4 linked regions of the Saccharomyces cerevisiae S288C genome follow. Changing the gene in region 2 together with the main gene of any one other region gives a genetic interaction. Each region holds a gene or a part of one and is shown on either strand. Other genes may lie near its edges.

The links.
Region 1: mutations in PRM7 (region 2) and MDL1 together harm fitness more than expected from each alone (negative genetic interaction), as found in Saccharomyces cerevisiae (2 studies listed by BioGRID).
Region 3: mutations in PRM7 (region 2) and ERT1 together harm fitness more than expected from each alone (negative genetic interaction), as found in Saccharomyces cerevisiae (2 studies listed by BioGRID).
Region 4: mutations in PRM7 (region 2) and WHI5 together harm fitness more than expected from each alone (negative genetic interaction), as found in Saccharomyces cerevisiae (2 studies listed by BioGRID).

The regions. Positions count from the first base shown.
Region 1 is NC_001144.5:525,905-531,939, forward strand, and holds MDL1 (ATP-binding cassette permease MDL1), read left to right. Parts: upstream 1-2,395; coding exon 2,396-4,483; downstream 4,484-6,035. Other genes in the region: SKG3 (Skg3p), read left to right, coding at 1-2,041; ATG26 (sterol 3-beta-glucosyltransferase), read right to left, coding at 4,893-6,035. UniProt on the Saccharomyces cerevisiae protein: Mediates export of peptides with molecular masses of 2100 to 600 daltons generated upon proteolysis of mitochondrial inner membrane proteins.
Region 2 is NC_001136.10:380,903-386,690, reverse strand, and holds PRM7 (pheromone-regulated protein PRM7), read left to right. Parts: upstream 1-2,609; coding exon 2,610-4,706; downstream 4,707-5,788. Other genes in the region: BSC1 (Bsc1p), read left to right, coding at 1,104-2,090; peptide alpha-N-acetyltransferase complex A subunit NAT1, read left to right, coding at 5,253-5,788.
Region 3 is NC_001134.8:696,712-702,218, reverse strand, and holds ERT1 (Ert1p), read left to right. Parts: upstream 1-2,275; coding exon 2,276-3,865; downstream 3,866-5,507. Other genes in the region: THI2 (Thi2p), read left to right, coding at 377-1,729; YBR238C (uncharacterized protein), read left to right, coding at 4,917-5,507. UniProt on the Saccharomyces cerevisiae protein: Transcription factor which regulates nonfermentable carbon utilization. Activator of gluconeogenetic genes like PCK1. Involved in restriction of Ty1 transposition.
Region 4 is NC_001147.6:476,710-481,421, reverse strand, and holds WHI5 (transcriptional repressor WHI5), read right to left. Parts: upstream 1,890-4,712; coding exon 1,002-1,889; downstream 1-1,001. Other genes in the region: LPX1 (triglyceride lipase), read right to left, coding at 1-835; TGL5 (triacylglycerol lipase), read left to right, coding at 2,234-4,483; DNA-binding SCF ubiquitin ligase subunit DIA2, read right to left, coding at 4,630-4,712. UniProt on the Saccharomyces cerevisiae protein: Transcriptional repressor that negatively regulates G1-specific, SBF- and MBF-dependent transcription. Binds via SBF to promoters of G1-specific genes to repress transcription in early G1.

The sequences.
Region 1 (6,035 bases), on a different chromosome or scaffold from region 2:
TCAAGAAACCAACCTATTTATCATGCCTGAAAAGCATCAAGGTGTTCCGGGATATGACACTATTATTCGCTTCTTAATCCCAGCTATGAACGCGTTCTACTTATATGGTAGGCCAAAGGGTTTGATTGCCAACAGAACTGACCCAGACTCCCTGCTGTTTGCCTTACCCACTCTTCCGCATATATATTATTTGCAGGTGGATGACGTTTTATCATTAACAAAAGACAAAAATTACATACATTGGAGTGCTGCTGATTGGAGGAATAACATTGTTCAAGTATTACAGAAAAAATTAAGTAAGGGCTATAAAGGCTGTGGTAATAAAACTGTATCAGTTTCATCTGGGATGATGAAGTCGCCGGCAATTAGTTCAGCTGAATTATTTGAAGGGTACGATTCTCTCCCTGAAAGACAAATGGAAAGTCCGCAAAAATCTAAGATGAAGTCTCCTACATTAGCATCGACCGATGATATTAATTCCGCTTCTGCTTCCGTAAACTCACATGCTACCTCAGTAAAACAAACTGAATTATTTGTGACTGATAATTCTTCAAAAATCAATGACTCTGTGTCGGCGCAGTCCAGTGTCACTACTAACTTCAAAGATACTTTTACCACCCCAATGACATCAGGAATGCTCAACCATGAAAATTCAGAGAGAAGCTTTGGTTCAGGATTAAAACTCAAAATCACTGATTCAAATTTGGAAAATATGGAAGACGTTGAAGCGAAATCTGCTAACGAATTCTCTACGACACCAGAAGACAAACATATTCACCTCGCCAATGCAGCCGAATTATCCGCCCTTTACGACAAATATTCCACATCTCCGTTTGGTAAATCGGAGGCTAATTCAAGCCCTAAACCTCAAAAATTGGAAGTTAAAGATCGGTCAAAAAATGAAAACAGAAGCCCCTATGAGAGATACGTAGGTACATCCGCTGAAAGCAAGACATTTGAAATAGGTAACGTCAGAGAGTCGAAAAGTACGATAAATACTTCCCTTTCTTCGCCTTTGAGGGTAGAAGATAGTAGACGTTCAAAAAATGAGGACCTGGGATCTTTGAAAGAGTTTGAAGAGTTATCTCAAAAGATTAGCAATATGGGAATGGCAAATATTTCTTCAGAAGCTTTAAGTGACACAGCAGAAAACAGTTCTTTTGTTACGGACCTGAACTTGAATATCAATAACAGTTCATCGGTCAATCTCAATGAAGAACAACGTGTGCCGGATTTTGGGGAGGAAAACGTATTTGATCCAGATTATATGGAACAAAACCAAATGTTGGAAACAGAAAGTAGGTACACTACGGATGAGTTTGACTTTTCAGATAATCAGGATGCAGCATCCAGTAATTATAGCAATGGGCAAACCAACCGAACAGTAACTGAAACCCTTTCTGCCAGTGACAGAAATGACAAGATCCCACATTCTTCTTTATTTACAAACTTAAACCAGCTTACTTCGAATGGAGGAAACTATCAGGATAGGGAAGATTTCTCTGGTGATCAAATAAACAAACCTCAACAATCTCAACCACTTCATGTGAAAGGACCACAAACTTCGTCATTTGGTTACAGAAATTCTTCAGCCAATAGCTCGCAGCCTCAAGCACCATACCCGGTTGGTCGCCCGTTAGGTAAGATAAGAACGGGTCCGCTGACCGTCCAGCCTATGCAACAAGGTGGAAACTCATCAATGTATTCTTTCCAATCTTCGCAACATCGGTTTCATTCGTCGCAACAGCGCCAAAACCAATCACTTTCCTTCAGAAACAATACCTATGGAAGTGGTAACAATCAAAATACATTCCATCCATCGCCGCAACTGCAACAACAGCCTCAAAATATGAGATATTTGAATAATAAGTTACCAATAAATGATAGATCTCCAATACCGCAAACACAGCACCATGTACCAGATGGCCGTCCCAGCCTCCATATAAATACCACTAACCGCACAAATCCGCTTACTGCACAAAGTGGATTTTCTCAATTTATGCCTCCCAATAGCACATCAACCAACCCATATTCCAGCTGATTCATTTATATTTCATCTTTTCTTTTTTTTTTTTTTACAATTCAGTAGTTTTATATAACTTCCCATAAATGTATTATTTTTTTAATACGACTATAATATACCTCTATACCCTTATTTATCTCTTTACCTTTGCTTTTAAGCTAAACAAATCTTCATTAACAGGTATTATATTACTGGCGTCGCGTTTCGTTTAGGCGCATCGAGCCGAGACTTCAGAATCACAAATGCTTTGTATATATGTTACGTATTCAGTATTGCCCAACATGCAACTAGATTCAACTAAGCAGACGTGGGTACTTACATGAGAAGCAGATCATTGAAATTTTACTAAGTTAAAGAAGAGGAAGGGCTCCAATGATTGTAAGAATGATACGTCTTTGTAAAGGTCCAAAGTTGTTGCGAAGTCAATTCGCATCAGCAAGTGCACTATATTCAACCAAGTCATTGTTCAAACCTCCCATGTACCAAAAAGCGGAAATTAATTTGATTATTCCACATAGAAAGCACTTTTTGTTGCGGTCGATTCGATTACAATCAGACATTGCGCAAGGAAAGAAGTCCACCAAGCCCACTTTAAAGTTGTCCAATGCAAATTCAAAATCCTCGGGGTTTAAAGACATTAAACGGCTATTCGTCTTATCTAAACCGGAATCCAAGTACATTGGTCTTGCCCTCCTTTTAATCCTCATTTCAAGTTCAGTTAGTATGGCTGTACCTTCCGTTATCGGTAAATTATTAGACTTGGCTTCCGAAAGTGACGGCGAAGATGAAGAGGGCTCAAAAAGCAATAAGTTATATGGTTTTACGAAGAAGCAATTTTTCACAGCATTAGGAGCAGTATTTATAATTGGAGCAGTTGCTAATGCAAGCAGAATCATCATTTTAAAGGTCACCGGTGAGAGACTGGTCGCAAGATTAAGAACGAGAACAATGAAAGCTGCATTAGATCAAGATGCCACATTTTTAGATACTAATCGTGTCGGTGATTTGATCTCAAGATTATCATCTGATGCATCTATAGTGGCCAAATCGGTCACACAAAACGTCTCTGATGGAACAAGGGCAATTATTCAAGGGTTTGTCGGTTTTGGCATGATGAGCTTCCTCTCGTGGAAATTGACTTGCGTAATGATGATTTTAGCCCCTCCTTTAGGTGCTATGGCACTGATATATGGTAGGAAAATACGAAACCTATCAAGACAGTTACAAACCTCAGTAGGTGGGTTAACAAAAGTGGCAGAAGAGCAATTAAATGCTACTAGGACAATTCAAGCATATGGTGGTGAAAAAAACGAGGTTCGCCGCTATGCAAAAGAGGTTAGAAATGTATTTCATATTGGTCTGAAGGAAGCGGTTACTTCCGGTTTATTCTTCGGAAGTACTGGGCTAGTTGGCAACACTGCAATGCTGTCGTTATTATTGGTTGGAACAAGCATGATTCAAAGTGGTTCAATGACTGTCGGTGAATTATCTAGTTTCATGATGTATGCCGTGTATACCGGAAGTTCATTATTTGGTTTATCGAGCTTCTATTCAGAACTTATGAAAGGTGCTGGTGCGGCTGCCAGGGTTTTTGAATTAAATGACCGTAAGCCATTGATTCGTCCGACTATTGGAAAGGATCCTGTGTCATTAGCCCAAAAACCCATCGTTTTCAAAAACGTGTCATTCACTTATCCCACTCGGCCCAAACACCAGATTTTCAAGGATTTGAATATTACTATCAAGCCTGGTGAACACGTTTGCGCTGTCGGTCCATCAGGAAGCGGCAAATCAACAATTGCGTCTTTGTTGCTCAGGTACTACGATGTGAACTCAGGATCGATCGAATTTGGTGATGAAGACATCAGAAATTTCAACTTGAGGAAGTATCGAAGACTAATAGGATACGTGCAACAAGAACCACTACTTTTCAATGGGACTATTCTGGACAATATCCTCTACTGCATTCCGCCTGAAATTGCGGAGCAGGATGATCGTATTAGACGTGCTATTGGAAAAGCTAATTGCACAAAATTTTTGGCCAATTTTCCAGATGGATTGCAGACTATGGTTGGTGCTAGAGGCGCGCAATTGTCCGGTGGTCAAAAGCAAAGAATTGCATTAGCTAGAGCGTTTTTACTAGATCCTGCCGTCCTTATTTTAGATGAAGCAACCAGTGCCCTTGACTCTCAAAGTGAAGAAATAGTTGCCAAAAATCTTCAGAGACGTGTGGAAAGGGGGTTCACTACTATATCAATTGCACATAGGCTTTCGACGATCAAACACAGTACTAGGGTGATTGTGTTAGGAAAACATGGCTCAGTGGTTGAAACCGGTTCATTCCGAGATCTAATCGCCATTCCTAATAGTGAACTAAATGCGCTGCTTGCCGAACAGCAGGACGAGGAAGGAAAAGGGGGAGTGATAGATTTGGACAATAGTGTTGCCCGGGAAGTATAAGAAGTTGCCGCAGTATGGAATCACTTTTCTATGCCACAGTTATGGTATGTGTTGGAAGACAATTAATTATCGCATTATGTTTGCTGAATATGAAATTGTGTATTCTATAATTTAAATGATGCCCAATGTAATTTACACAAACAGTTTTTTTTTAAAGCTCCTTGTACGCCTTTATACACATTAAATTAATATTAGATGCACAACATACGGTACGTTTAGGAAACTCAAATTAAGCTTTATTTTTTTACTTTTTTATTATTGTTACTATTATTCTTATTATCAACATTATCGTTTTCATATCTTTCCTGAGTACAAATATGACTGAAACTTACAAAAAAAAAATTAATTATTTATTACTATTAATGATTAGATGTTACGCTTTTTTATAAAAGTGAGAGTGATACTCGGTTTAAATCATCGTCCACCCTTCATCCGTTGTTTCAGCAGGTGTCAGTTTGGTTGCATCTACATTTTCCTCTTTCTTGCGCGGAGTTTTCACTCTTGATAAAGTAACGCTTCTTGCATACTCAAGTTCGTTGTAAATTGCACTTATTGCAGTTTTAATCCCATCTTCTTTGGAAATTTTCTTCTTTATTAATCCAGCTCTATCCTTCATTATTTTGTTCGTCGTAGCTACTTTTAAAGCATCTGCTAATGTTTGAGCGTTAAGTTTCTTTAAAGCAATACCAACTCCAATGTCTTCTACTCTACCTGCATAAAAGAACTGATCACCAAAGAAAGGTTTTATAACAGTAGGTAAACCAGCACGTAATGAAGCTCCAGTAGTTCCAGAACCACCATGGTGAACGGCAGCATCGACTTGTGGGAACAACCAATCATGGGGAACGTTTCCGATATTTAAAATGTTTCTTGGAAGATCTACCTCTGTCTTCTTTGCCGCCTTATCGCCCAACCTTTCTGACCATCCCTTATTTAAAATGCAGTATACATCTGCTTCCATAACTGCTTCGACAAGAGCTTCCGTCATTTCTTTGGCATTAGAGACTACAATCGAACCAAACCCGATATAAACCAATTTTTTTCCTTTTGATCTTGCCTCAGAAATAAATTCTTGTAATTCTGCTGGCGGTTTGAAAGTACTCTTATCATCAAGAAACCAATATCCTGTAACTCTCACCCACTCGCTAAAATCAATTGATGGCGGAAAAATTGTAGGAGAAACATTGTATAAGAAAGGAACATTATTCTGCTGTAAAAGAAAAAGATTTGTTTTCCCTAAACCTAGAGTTTCAACTCTCCACTTGTTTACTTGCCCACTAATTCCCTTCCAGAAAACGTTTTCGAAAAGGACATGTGTCAGGTAGTTATAGTTACCGCCCCTTTTTTGATCTGGTACAATAAATGCATGTGGATATGCTCTTGTTCTTGTCCATGGCATGGTAAATGCTCGAAAATAAGGAATTTGCAATGCTTCAGTAATATGAATACCAACCATAGCTGAGGGTGATTCAATCAGAATATCAAATTTTCTTCTGTTACAAACCTCCCAAGATGTCTGTAAAAGAGCATCGATCCATCCCCTAAATTTGCT
Region 2 (5,788 bases):
CCGTTTATTGTCCAGCGGGGAGTCTTTGTCGTACTTTCTTCTTTTCTTCTTCTTTCTTAATGAAGCACCTAGTTTAAGGATAAAAAAGATTATATCGCTTGTCTATGGCTTACGTAAACATTATTTCTTTGATATACTATTCCGTTAGAATGGAAGGGGGCCATATGATTCTGATTTTCTTGGCCTGGGGGGATGGAAATTTTCCTTTTAGAGCTGCCTGTACAAGACCGAGTGTTCGTTCCTCCTTTAGCATAGAAAATACGGTTATTAGATTATTGGGGCATTTGGCCTGCTTCCATCTTAACGCGAACAAATACTATTCAAGAACTTGTGCTACCTCTTGAAACCAAATGTTAAACTGTTCTGCCATATTTGAAAATAATTTCAAAGTTGTGGGAAAAATATTTTGCCATCATACGACAAACGTTTCTCTGGCTGTGACTGATAGTCGTGTAGGTCCTGTATTATCTTGCTGACAAACATCTTAAAAAGTCTTTTGGAAAAAGAAAAAAATAAACTTTCCTTCTTTTTTTTTTGGTTCCTGCGGCTCTTTCAAGGGGCTGCCAAACCTTATATTCTCCTCCTGTCATTTTAGAAGGAGAGGTAGCGGTCTTTTCTTTTTTTTCGTGCCTACACGCGCACATGACGATAAAACTGGCCCAGGCGAGATCAGATCAGCATTTGCACGTTGCATTTTACTTGTTTTCTTATTGGCAAAGAAAAAAAGCTCGGAACAAGCCACTAATACCCGATTCTATGCTTACAGAATAACCGATACTACTGGAAAGAAAAATTTTTCACATTAGTTCGCTGCATCTCCATGATCGTTTAATTATTTTATATTTAAGAGAAGCAAATCACTTCCTCCAATGTCATGATGGTCTTGGCAATTTTCCTCCCCTTGTTGCAAAAGTGTAAAATAGGTATCCACATCATTCATAAGAAAACTACTAATATCATTTTGCCTCCTATTTGCGGCCTTGCTCACAAATTCAGCGACTGCTGATAGAATTGATGACAAGGTGAGCCCTTCATTTGATCTAAGCAAAAGAGACGAAAGCGTTGCTATCAATGGTTGTCCAAATTTGGATTTCAACTGGCACATGAGCCAACAGAATATACTACATTATGATATGGATGTTACTTCCGTATCATGGGTCAAGGATAACACATACCAGATTACTATTCATGTCAAAGCCGTAAAAGATATCCCTTTGAAATATTTATGGTCTTTAAAGATTATTGGTGTCAACGGTCCCTCAAGCACCGTACAACTTTACGGCAAAAATGAGAAGACATACCTAATCAGTGATCCAACAGATTTTACATCCACTTTTCAGGTTTATGCTTACCCTTCTTCTGACGGTTGCACAGTTTGGATGCCAAATTTCCAAATCCAGTTCGAATATCTACAAGGTGATGCTGCTCAGTACTGGCAAACTTGGCAATGGGGGACAACCACCTTCGATTTATCGACAGGTTGTAACAATTATGACAATCAAGGCCACTCACAAACGGATTTCCCTGGATTTTATTGGACCTACCAGTGCAAGGGAAACAATGATGGCACTTGTACAAAAGCCTCGTCTTCATCCATTACTACTTCATCCATTACTACTTCATCCACTACTACTTCATCCACTACTACTTCATCCACTACTACTTCATCCTCTACTACTTCATCCTCTACTACTTCATCCTCTACTACTTCATCCTCTACTACTTCATCCTCTACTACTTCATCCTCTACTACTTCATCCTCTACTACTTCATCCTCTACTACTTCATCCTCTACTACTTCATCCTCTACTACTTCATCCTCTACTACTTCATCCTCTACGAAAACTTCCACTACTACGTCATCTACTGTGAAAAGCTCTTCCACTACATCCATTGATTTTACTACTTCCGTTGACTCACATACTTCATCAAGCGTAGCCGATATTTATCGTTCAAGAACATCTACTGATGTCACCACATTAGCAGCTTCAACTAGTCCTTTCAGCAGTTTCACTTCAAGTGACTCTAGTAGTTCAAGCGATGTAACCAGTTCAACCATTCAAACTACTTCTGTTGATCCAACCACTTAAGTAGTAAGTTCAAGTTCAGAAGACCCAACTAGTTCAAGCGCTGTGACTACTTCAGTTGACCCAACTACTTCAGTTGACCCAAATACTTCAGCTGATCCAACTACCTCGACCGTTCAAACTACTTCTGTTGATCCAACTACTTCAGTTGACCCAACTAGTTCTATAGTCAGTTCTACTTCAGTTGATCCAACTACTTCAGTTGACCCAACTACTTCAGCTGACCCAACTACCTCGACCGTTCAAACTACTTCAGCTGATCCAACTACTTCCGTAGTCAGTTCAAGTTCAGCTGATCTAAGTAGCTCTGTTATCAGTTCAAGTTCAGCAGACCCAACTAGTTCAAATGCTGTGACTACTTCAATTAACCCAACTACTCCAGCTGATTCAACTACTTCGGCCGTTCAAACTAGCCCAGCTGATCCAAGTAGCTCTGTTACCATTTCTACTTCCACAGACTCTACATCTTCAATTGAGTATACTACATCGGATGATCCACACGCCTCATCAAGTTTAGCGGCTATGTATCGTACAAGAAGCTCTGACGAGGTAACCACATCAACAGATCTAACTAGCTCAAGTGACGTTGCTACTTCAGTTGACCCAACTACTTCTGTTATCAGTTCAACTTCAGCAGACCCAACTACTTCAGCTGACTCAACTACCTCGACCGTTCAAACCACTTCAGCTGGTCCAAGTAACAACATCGGCAATTCCACTTTGGCCAATTCCACTACTTTTGCAGTTAGTTCCACTTCAATTGACCCAACTAGCTCGAGCGATGTGATTACTTCAACCGTTCAAACCACTTCAATTGAACCAACTACTTCTCTCGTCAGTTCAAACGATATTACTACTTCAACAAGTCTAAATATCTCTGTCGTGATTTCCACTTCCACGGACTCTACATCTTTAATTGAGTCTACTACAACAGTTGGTCCACATGCCTCATCAAGTGTTGCTGGTATGTATCGTACAAGAAGCTCTGACGAGGTAACCACATCAACAGATCCAACTAGCTCAAGTGACGTGGCTACTTCAGCAGATCCAACTAGTTCAAGCGCTGTGACTACTTTAGTTGACCCAACTACTTCTGTAGTCATTTCAACCTCAGTTGATCAAACTAGCTCAAGTGACGTTGCTACTTCAGTTGACCCAACCACTTCTGTTATCAGTTCAACTTCAGCAGACCCAACTACTTCAGCTGACTCAACTACCTCGACCGTTCAAACTACTTCAGTTGATCCAACTAGTTCTGTAGTCAGTTCCGCTCCAGTTGATCCGGCTAGTTCTGTTGTCAGTTTAACTTCATCTTACCCAACTAGCTCAAGCACTGTGACTATTTCTGCTAATTCAAACGGTTCAGCTACTTTAGCGGCTCAAACTACTTCAATTGATCCAGTTAGCTCCATCGTTAGTTCAAGCGGTGCAACTACTATCATCAGTAGCGCCTCAATTGATCCAGCTAGTTCTGTAGTTAGTTCAACTTCATCTGAACCAACCAGTTTTATTGTCAGTTCAACCTCAGTTTATTCAACCAGACCAAGTGGTCCAACTACTTCAACAGATCTAGCTACTTTCTCTGACACAATCATTCTAAGGGTTTCAACCACTTCAACCAGCCAAGATACCCAAACAGTATCATCTAGTCTAACTGATATGGTTTCCTCAACTGGTTCAGCTGATTTGAGCGTCTCATCCATTCAAAGATCTCAAGTAGACCCAAGCACTTTCGCTGTCTCGAATAGCCCAGTATATCCAACAGCTTCGACCGGATCAACTTCCACGGGCATTCCAATTGCGTCGGAAAGTCTAAGCCTTTCTAGACAGCAAGGAATTTCGGCCACTTCAAGTTCTTCGATTGTAACTTTAACCCCAGTTGATTCGGCTTCCTCGAGTAGGTCAAGCGCAACAAGTATAATCAAGCCTAATATGCCAGTTAGCAGCAATGATTCGAAGACCCAAAGTTCTGTTTCTGTAGTTGACGCATTCCAATCAACTAAATCTTCATATCCTAGCATAACTTCAGCAGACCCAACGACTCTAGCCAGTGAAAATGGTTTAGTCGGCTCATCTTCCTCAGCTCATCCAATCACATTAGATAGAACTTATGCATCAGCTCACGCAAGCGTCACCGATATTGTCAGTAGAGTTACTGACTCGACTCGCCATACAACACTAGTAACTTCAAACATTAACATTCAGTCTGAGGTTGGGAACCCAAATTACTCGGGTCCCAAAGACACTACCATCACCAAACAATCTGCATTTATGACTTCTCCTGCATCAACGTCTACTATAAGTAACGTTCAATCAACTGCTTCCGTAATGAATCACAGTATTGAGGACAATATTTCTGCAGCTGCCTCTCTAGAAAGTGTTTCTGGTACCTCAACTAAAGATTATTCTAGTCAATCCAGTGCCATTCATTATACAAATTCCTTCACGACCACCACTACTAACGCATTTATCACATCAAAGCATTCCATTGCTGCTGTATCAACAGGAGCCATTACATCATCTGCCAGCATTTCATTAATCATGGAAGGCAGCGCAAACATTGAAGCAGTAGGAAAATTGGTGTGGCTCGCTGCCGCTCTTCCTCTAGCTTTCATTTAGTCATTCTACCATCTTTCATGTCCCTACGCCATTCTCGTTCGTATACCATATAAACCAATTATAGATTTTACATAGAATAATAGTTAAATTTGATTATAGAATATCTTCGGATTCAATAAAAAATTATTATTATCAGACTCTTTCTGTCCACTCCTTGAAGTATGCAAAGTGCTTCGAGAACGCCATGACATTCGACAATTCAAAATTGAGAGAGGACTGCTAAGGAAACTCTTTGAGTTGATTATATAATCGCTATTTAATCTTTTAAAGGGGGAATACTGCTAAATTTTCATTATTGTACAACTGGAGACATGATAGGCCTGAAATGTGCCACCAAATTGCATGACCTTGCTAATGAGGTCGCTGGGTTGCGTATGCACTTTTTACCCTGCTCCGCGTCGAAACAGAACATAATACAGAGTAAAGAGGAAAGAGCGAAAATGAAAAAGTTTCTACACTCAAAAGTCAAACCTTTTTAAAAAGTGATGTTCAGATTCCTTGTTTAAGACAAATACCATTGAGGAAGGCGATTGACCCTAACGAAGTATGTCTAGGAAAAGAAGTACTAAGCCCAAGCCAGCAGCTAAAATAGCTTTGAAAAAAGAAAATGACCAGTTCCTCGAGGCATTGAAACTATACGAAGGGAAGCAATACAAAAAATCTCTCAAGCTGCTAGACGCAATTTTGAAAAAAGACGGTAGTCACGTTGATTCCTTGGCTTTAAAGGGTCTTGATTTATATTCTGTAGGTGAGAAAGATGACGCTGCTTCCTACGTGGCTAATGCCATCAGAAAAATTGAAGGCGCTTCAGCATCACCAATCTGCTGTCATGTATTAGGTATCTACATGAGAAACACCAAAGAGTACAAAGAATCTATTAAATGGTTCACGGCAGCTTTGAACAATGGGTCCACTAACAAGCAAATATATAGAGACTTAGCAACTTTGCAATCACAAATTGGCGATTTCAAAAATGCTTTAGTGTCCAGGAAAAAATATTGGGAAGCATTCCTTGGTTACCGTGCCAACTGGACATCATTGGCTGTGGCACAAGATGTGAACGGTGAGAGGCAACAAGCTAT
Region 3 (5,507 bases), on a different chromosome or scaffold from region 2:
TGGCGCATTTGATGTATGCGGATTTCCAACCAATCTGCGAATGCATCCGTGCCAAAATGAAACGGCATTTAGCTTGAAAGAGTCGGAATTCCTGCATCAGATGGGTACCATTTTACCACAGTCTTTTGACTCACGCAGAGTACTCGCGTGCAATTGCTTGCAGGTATAATATATACATATATATATATATATATATATATATATATATATATGTACAATTTGTATGACAAGTGGGTGCACCTTTCTCGGTCGGAATTATATGGGGAACTAATACTACGGGTTAGAGCTATAACAATTTCTGCACACTTTAAAAGCGTTTTCATTTCATTTCACCACGTATATATATAGCCTATATATATATCCGCACTAGAACCAAATGGTCAATAGTAAGAGGCAGCAGAGAAGCAAGAAAGTAGCGTCATCCTCCAAAGTGCCCCCCACCAAGGGGAGGACATTTACTGGGTGCTGGGCATGCAGATTCAAGAAACGCAGATGCGACGAGAATAGACCAATCTGTTCACTGTGTGCCAAACATGGAGATAATTGTAGTTACGATATCAGACTTATGTGGTTAGAGGAGAACATCTACAAAGTACGCAAGCATTCACTGATCAGTTCATTACAGGCTCGCAAATCGAAATCGAAACCATTGTGCCAGAAAATCTCAAAATCAAGGTTTAAACAAATGACCCATTTTAGACAACTATCACCCCCGACAAGTGACTGCGAAGACAGCGTGCACGAGGCAAGTAAGGAAACTACGCTTCCTAACGATAATACATTCACCATAAGCGTACGGAGATTGAAGATATACAATAACGCTGTGGCCTCTGTCTTTGGTAGCATGACAAATAGAGATTATACTCAAAAGCGCATAGACAAGAAGTTGGACGAATTGCTTAATATGGTGGAAAACGACATATCTGTGGTCAACCTCAATTGCTCCAAACACGGGCCTTACTCAGTTTTCAGGGCCAATCCGGCTGCAGTTACCTCTGCTCTTACAGATCAGCTGCCGTCGCCGGGTCATTCGATGTCGTCAGCAGAGGAAACCACTACTGCAGCGCTGTCATCGCCGCCAGAAGACAGCACCTCTTTGATCGATATTATCCAAGGCAAAATTTTCGGGATCCTATGGTTTAATTGCTACGGGAACATGATATTGAACCGACAAGAATACACGACGTGGTTCATCAATAAGATGAGGAACTCGTTGACCACGGAATTCATACGCTTCCTTGGGAAAATAATTGACGACCCGGACATCAATATGGCCTCGTGCCTGTTCAAAGAGTGCATCGCTCGTTGGAGTTGTGTCGATTGGCAATCCATAGCTATAACAATGCTGGTCATCATTCATGGATATACCTGCCCCAACTTGACAAAGCTTCTAAGAGTGTGGTTTCTCCAGCAAAAGCTATTGAGATTTTCGATGTATCCGCTGGTCAACTTTATCATAAACAATACACAAGATTTAGACGTCCTGTACCATTGTAATGGATTGCTAGGGAATGCCGACTTATTCGAGGATCCCTACCAGGACGAGCTTACGTCGGAGTTACATGTCTTGGTCACGGAGCGCCTAGTGAATAGTTGGAAAGATACAATATTGCAACAACTTTGCTCATGTCAAGATACCACACTTTCATGTTCCCAACTGCGGTACTGGCAGCTACAACTGAAGTGTAATCAACAATTTTACAAGGATGTATATGCCATGCAGGACTAGGCTTATTGAGCCTTCCCTTCACTCATTTCAAGAAAAAAAAAGCCAAAAGCTTTGCTTGGATATTATACCCATTTTTAACGACATATTTTTTCCCACTACTTTAGATAGAAATTCATGATATTTTGTTTTATATTATATATGTATATATATATATGCACGAAAAAAAATTAAAGTTTATCACTGGGAGATAGGGTTTCCTATCTGCCAGGGTGAAACGTTTATTTTACTGATTTCTTTGTCTTTACTGACATTTATCGGATATCTATCTATCATTCTGAGCCTATGCTTTTTGTTAGCCGTAGACTAAAAAAAAAAAAAAATTGAAGGAAAAGAAATGAAAAAAGCAAATGAGTTGCAATTTTAGTATATTGTAAAAGAGTAACCACATAAAAAAACTAAACAAGAGCCGGTGCAACGGCATTACTCTCTTAGATAAAATTGCTAGTTATATAAAGTCAGGATACTCTTGAGCTATTTTTATCATTTCTTTTGGGTACAACAGACACACGAAGGTATAAAAATAAAATACATTGATGAATCATCGTGATGTGCACTCCAGATGAAAACGATTACAAAACATCAACTGACCCAGATACATCTGCAAATACAAATCATACTCTCGAAAAAAAGAAGAGAAAAAAGAGAAAAAACACAAACGTGGCATGCGTGAACTGTTCGAGATTGCATGTGTCATGTGAGGCCAAAAGGCCATGCTTACGATGTATCAGCAAGGGCCTCACGGCTACATGCGTTGACGCTCCAAGAAAGAAAAGCAAGTACTTGGCTGGAATACCGAATAGAGAGCTCCCAATGAACATACAACCGGACCTTCCACCCCGCAAGATCATGATACCCATTTATAACAACTCCAGCAATAGTAGCCTCAACGTAAATAACATGGGAGAACAGCAAAAATTCACCAGCCCACAACATATAGTTCACAAAGCTAAATTCCTATCGAATGCTGCAGATTCCGAGTACTCTATTCTGTCGAATATCATCTATCAAGACACATTGTCTAACAAGATCCCTATTGACATCCTGTACTCCAACACCAATTCCACATCCAACTCCACAATAGGCAATAGCAGTAACAATAGCCCTACGGGCACAAATACAAGCCCTGAAGAAACAGAAATGGAGAAAATTCGCCAGTTGTACAGCGAACAGCGAGCAAACATACCCCCACATCCGTATCCATCTTCCAATCAAAACGTTTATTCTATTCTACTGGGACCAAATTCAGCCAAGATTGTAGCTTCGCAAGTTAATCTTTTCGCGAACCATTTCCCCTTAGTGCCCGTTGATTCAGCTGATAATTCCTTAAACTTTAAAAGATTATTGCCACGGGACCCATCTGAAAAGAGCTCCCAAATTAATTGGGACTCAAGCATAAACCAATATTACTTGAACAGCGAAACGGTAACATTTCCCGAGTTGGCTATCCCCTTAAAGCGGAGGAAAAACCATTTGGTCTCTGTATCCCTGGAAAGCTGTTCACCAGACGCTGCCAACATCAAGAGCAATGTAGAATGGGAACATTCATTACGTTATTCTACTCCAATGGAAATATACACCTCCATAAATGCCCCCTTTTCGCATACACCTGGATTCCACCATCTTTTGGTGTACCTAAAGCATCGATTCAACCAGCAGGATCTGGTGAAGATGTGTCGGTCCATTGCCGAATTCCGGCCCATTTTCATTGCGTGTTCTGTAACTTTAACCGAGGAGGACATGATTTTTATGGAGCAATGCTACCAAAGAACTCTATTAGAATATGTAAAATTTATTGCACAAATCGGTACCCCGACATGTATTTGGCGAAGAAATGGTCAAATTTCTTATGTCAACGAGGAATTTGAAATTCTATGCGGATGGACAAGAGAGGAGCTACTAAACAAGATGACTTTTATCGTAGAGATCATGGACGATGAAAGTGTACGCGATTACTTCAAAACGCTCTCTAAAGTTGCATATAGGGACTTCAGAGGATCTGAGAAGATGAAAGTTTGCAGGCTCTTAAGCCCCATCAAGGGCAAGATAATTCATTGTTGCTGTATGTGGACATTAAAAAGAGATGTCTCTGGTTTGCCCCTCATGATCTTGGGTAACTTCATGCCCATACTCAATTGACTTTTTTTTTCTTTTTTTCTCATTTTACTACCTCGTATTATATAATACCTATGCATAGACCAAAAGTAAGTCAAGAACTGTGTTCTTTTAAAAGTGTTAACAGATTCCAGCAATTTTACTTGAAGCCTTGACCAGTTTCGTAGGCGTCTGCTCATTCTGGTCGATATCCAGAGGCTCGAGCACATATAACGAAGGGCCCCTATTGTGTATATGGCGGCCTTTACGAATCTTCCGATATTGGGTAGCTCCGTTTTTCTTCCCTTTTTTTTTTTTTTTTTCTTAAATTTCTTCTTCTTTTTTTGCTCTTCGTTTTATTTCACTCACCTGTTGTCGAAAAAAACATCAGGCGTATACCATCAAAAAACTCAACCAATTGAGCTAGTTTCACTTTCTGTACGCATGAGTTTCCAATGTCTCACAGGGCATGTCTCACACACCACCGCCTTCCACCTTACATAACGAACTGCGGAAAAACAGCATGCCACATGGTACCTAACTGGAAAAATAGCAGCAGTCCTCTTCATATTGTTTGCTTCGTTGTTCATTTTCTCGAAAAATTTCTCTTCTTTTCTTGCCTTGATAATATGTAAAAAAGCTTAAACTTTCAGGCAACTTTTCCCATATTGTTTTTCCGTGTGAAGGGACGAGTGCCTGCAGTGAACTGCTCGTACAAGAGAGGCAATTTCATAGATCCTCTGATTCTGCGGTAATTTCTCAGAGGACAGCACTCTGCACGAGCTTTGTGTGTGCACCAAAAGAAACGGGTTTCTTTCGGAGAAAAAAAGAAAAGAAAATTTTTTCAACCTTGCTCAAGTTATGCCATGGACATCTCGAAGAAAGTCAAAATAAGGCAATAAAGAAACTTTGTCGTTCAGCACTGAAGTTACATATCGCATTGGTTATATCTATAGAAACCCTTTTCCTTTCATTCTTCTCTCAGTTTTTTTTCTTGAATACAGTACGTTCTATAGTTGGATCGAGGTTTTAAAAACGTGTGATTAGCTTGATATTTCTTACTCTAATTGCTTTTCTATCTTGCAAATCTGATCCTATGATCCGTTTAGCTCAGCAAACACAAGTACTGAAGGGCAAACCCCCAAACCAGTTTGTTCCACATCCGACAAAGAATTCGCTGACTCATCCAATGAAATTTAACGGTACAATCGCTATGGAGCACCATGAACACAACTATGCCATTCCTTACACGCCTGCTACTTTTAACAATCCAGCCCTCGCTACTTATCAGGTAAGCCCAGCCAACCATTTTGTTCCTCACTTTGGTGGCAACATTGGAGCCAACAACAACAATCATCTAGCTCAGAATAACAGCAATAATAGTAACAACCATCATAACAATAACCGTAATCATCACCACAATAACAATCGTAACCATCATCAAAATAACCATAATCATAGCAAGTATAATAACTCCAATCAAGGTAATTCAATTAGCCCAGACTCCCCATGGTTTCATAAGGTTTGTGCCTTCGAAGATTGCGTTTCACAGACTCTTTATATGTCACAAACTCCAAGGCGTCAAAACATGAAACACCATTCAGAACATCCAAATTCTAACGCTAATCCATTATTTTGGGATTCTATAGGTAGAGCAATGGGGCTGTATCATGATCTACTCACTACA
Region 4 (4,712 bases), on a different chromosome or scaffold from region 2:
TGCTGATCAGGAAAGGCGCAAAAGTCTGCATGTTCATGTAGCAGAGGAGATTTTGAGCCTGCTCCATCTTCGTGCGAACGGGTCCACCATCTTCATCGTCTCCAGAGGCTTTTGTCCTCTCAAAATCGATGATGTTTTGCAGGATTTGGCTGTGCGCATTGGTAAAAAAGGAACCGTTCCTCATATATTTTACATATTCGGACTCGTTAGCGAAATGGTCGCACGTCTTTAAACGTAGGGAGTTATAAAGATTTTCTGGGATCTGCGGAGAATCGGGCGGAAGCCCTGGCCTCCCGGCGCCGATGGCTTTCCGTGTGATTACTACAGGCTCGATCAAGATGAGCAAATGAAACAGATTGGGCTGCAGGACGTCACACGCAAGAGCCTGGAACCCGCCCATCGAGTGGCCGATGACTACGTTTAGTGCCGGGTGGCTGTCAATACTGCCCAACTCGCATGTGGCAATCTTGAGCACGTCGCGGGCCCCGTCGATCCAGTTGAAATTGGTGCCGAGTCTGCCGCGGTTGCGTACCGCAGAATCACCGTGGTTAACCTGGTCGATCAACAAAACCTTGTCGATGGCATAATTGCCCTCCGCATCGGCGGCTACCAGACGCGGCAAATAGTACTCCCATACCACCTTACTCATGCCGCTGCCGTGCAAAAACACAAGGTTAAGCCTAGTGGCAGTGCGAGAGCGGCGTTGCCGCTCTGCGCTAGTGTACACATCGTATGTGAGCTCGAGGCGATCTGTCGCACACAGCGTCGACTGCGGTGCGCGCGGCCAGCTAGCGCTACAAGTTTTCGTTTCTTTCTTGAACCTGTTCTGTTCCATTTTAGCCGCGGATGTTGATCGGCGGATACGCAGAGATAAGCAGAGTACGCACTAGTGAGCTTTTTTAGCACGCACATTACGCACTTTATATATATGCTAAAGGGTGCAGCAGCGGGCGCGGCTGCACTAACTCCGAGATTGCGGAGAAAAAACTCGTACTACCACATTAAGACGTCTCCACTTCGGTATCCGACTCGGGCTCCGTTTCGTCCGTGGGTTCTCCAGCAGATGTCGCCGGCACGGGTCGGTGTTGTTGCTTCTTGGTAGGCGACGACAATAGCATCAGTGTTTCGACAGCCGTGGCCTCCTCCCGTGGTGGGTGGCCTCCGAGCGCCTGAAGAAACGCTGTATGCGCGGAAGTACCCGCGTCTGCACTATCTGGAAATCTGTTGTGATAGCGACGTGGCGGCGTCTGCACTGCTGGAGCAAGCTCCGTCTCCAGCTCGGGAAGTGTCTTGTCCGTCCATCCATTTTGCAGCTTGACTAACGCGTAATTGAGCCTGGTGCGCAAAGTATGTGATATTTCGCGGATGGGCCGCTCGCCCGTAGACCGACGCGCAGCCGTCGGAGGTGACCTCAAACGCGGCGACGGCGACAGAAACACCTCCGACCGTCTTGACTTGGGCGTTGTCGGTGGCAACAAAGGCATACTAACGTGTCCGTCGTACTTCTTTTGATTTTCATTTTCTTCTTCATTTTCGTCGTCCTCACTCTCACTTTCGTGTCCGTCGTCGTTATGGTCATATACACGTCCATGTGCGGTTATGCCGACACGACGCTTATTGACGGGCGACATGAATATACCCTGAAGACTCGTTGTCGACGGCCTTCTTCTCGATTTAGTGATGCTTTTCGTTATGCCTGGTGGTGACGGCGGCGATGGTGTTCCAAAGCCATTTTTGAGACGTACTGGCGTGCTCAATAGAGTGGTTGGCCCAGGTCGCTGCTGATGCTCGTTGTTTACATGTGTATCTGGGTTCTGTACCTGCTCTTGTTCTTGTTCTTGTTCTTGTTCATCGCTAGTCCTGCTTCTCTTCGGCGTTCTCAAACTCATATTCTTCAATGTCTCTACTATTTTTCGTTGCTATTAATATCTGGTTGTGCTTTCTTCCATCAGGTTCTTTGCCTTGTTTTGCCTTTGTTTTGTTTTGTTTTGTTTTGTTTTTTTTATTTTTTTCGTTCTGCTCTTGAAGTTTTCGCTTCCCTTTTCCCCCTTCCCTTTAGCACCAGAAGTCATGAAACAATTAGTAAATCAAGAATTATCATTAAGGCAGCGCGAGGAATTATATAAAACAAAAAAAAATAAAAAAATAAAAAAAAAAAAAAATAAAATTCGAAAACAATAGGAGACAAAAGACATCATAAACAGCACAAGGAAGACGGTTCTGTTTCGTTGCTATGTCTAATACCTTGCCAGTAACAGAATTTCTTTTATCCAAATACTACGAACTTTCCAACACTCCTGCCACAGACTCATCATCGCTCTTCAAATGGTTATACCACAAGACTCTCTCCCGTAAACAGCTGCTCATATCCGATTTGTCTTCCCAGAAAAAACACGCCATCTCCTACGATCAATGGAATGACATAGCGTCGCGATTAGACGACTTAACGGGACTTTCCGAATGGAAAACAATCGACGAGTCCTCGTTGTATAACTATAAGCTGCTGCAAGACTTGACCATCCGTATGCGCCATTTGAGAACCACTCACGACTACCACCGCCTGCTTTATCTGATTAGAACTAAGTGGGTCCGTAATCTTGGCAACATGAATAACGTTAATCTTTACAGGCACTCGCATACCGGCACAAAACAAATTATACATGACTACCTAGAAGAGTCTCAAGCAGTGCTCACCGCGCTGATCCATCAGTCAAATATGAACGATCACTATCTCCTCGGTATTTTGCAACAGACGAGAAGAAACATAGGGCGCACGGCTCTCGTGCTTAGCGGTGGGAGCACTTTCGGCCTTTTCCACATTGGTGTTCTTGCCGCCCTTTTTGAATCGGACCTGATGCCTAAGGTGATCAGCGGTAGCAGTGCTGGCGCCATTGTTGCCAGCATATTTTGCGTCCACACGACCCAGGAAATTCCCTCCTTGTTGACCAATGTACTTAATATGGAGTTTAACATCTTCAATGACGACAATTCCAAATCTCCCAACGAAAACTTACTAATCAAGATATCGAGGTTCTGCCAAAACGGTACCTGGTTCAATAATCAACCTTTGATTAACACAATGCTTTCGTTTTTAGGAAACTTGACCTTTAGGGAAGCCTACAACAAGACTGGAAAAATCCTGAATATCACAGTCTCGCCTGCTTCCATATACGAACAGCCGAAACTACTAAACAATTTAACCGCTCCAAACGTTCTCATCTGGTCTGCCGTATGCGCATCTTGTTCTCTACCTGGAGTTTTCCCCTCCACGCCGCTATTCGAGAAAGATCCTCACACTGGAAAGATTAAAGAGTGGGGGGCAACAAATTTACATTTATCAAACATGAAATTCATGGACGGATCTGTAGATAATGACATGCCCATTTCTCGTCTTTCTGAAATGTTCAATGTCGACCACATTATCGCCTGCCAGGTAAATATACATGTCTTTCCCCTGTTAAAGTTTTCAAACACTTGCGTTGGGGGTGAAATTGAAAAGGAAATTACCGCCCGTTTCAGAAACCAAGTAACAAAGATCTTCAAATTTTTTTCCGACGAAACTATTCATTTTTTAGACATCCTAAAGGAGCTTGAGTTCCATCCCTATTTGATGACCAAATTGAAACACCTTTTTTTACAACAATACTCTGGCAATGTCACAATTTTACCCGATCTATCAATGGTTGGTCAATTCCACGAAGTATTGAAGAACCCATCTCAACTTTTCCTATTGCACCAAACTACTTTAGGTGCAAGAGCTACTTGGCCGAAAATTTCCATGATTCAAAATAACTGTGGCCAAGAATTCGCCTTGGATAAGGCCATCACATTCCTAAAGGAGAAAATAATAATCTCTTCGTCAATAAAAAACCCTTTACAATTCTACCAACCTCGATTCAGTGAGCAAATCAAATCTCTTTCCATAATGGATGCTGACTTGCCGGGAGTTGACTTGGAAGAATCCTCCTCCAATTCACTATCAATTATCAAGTCTCCCAACAAAACAGCGGCACCGGGAAGATTTCCTCTTCAGCCATTGCCTTCTCCATCTTCTACCTTCAACAAGAGGAAAATGGATATGTTATCGCCTTCTCCATCGCCTTCTACATCTCCACAACGTTCAAAATCTTCATTCACGCAGCAGGGTACAAGGCAGAAGGCAAATTCTTTATCGTTTGCCATCGGTGCATCTAGTTTACGGCTAAAGAAATCACCATTGAAGGTTCCATCACGACCTCAATTCAAAAAAAGATCTTCTTATTATAATCAAAATATGTCGGCAGAGATGAGGAAAAATAGAAAAAAATCTGGAACAATTTCCTCTTATGATGTTCAAACAAACTCAGAAGATTTTCCCATACCGGCTATTGAAAACGGTTCATTTGATAACACTTTATTCAATCCAAGCAGGTTCCCCATGGACGCTATGTCGGCTGCCACAAACGACAATTTCATGAACAATTCAGACATTTTTCAAAATTGAAATGAAAGACAATAAGTACATTTTTATATAAAAAGCTTTCTATATTCTCACCTCCATCAACTCCAAAAGGTACATGCCATTTTGTTATATTAAATATTCTAAGAATTTTCCGAAGGATACTGCATTATCATCAGTGATTTATTAATCTATGAGTATGAATATGAATTAATTCCAAATTTTCTCCATACATCTCTTTCATAAACACAATCCACTTGAGTAACTAAGTTCT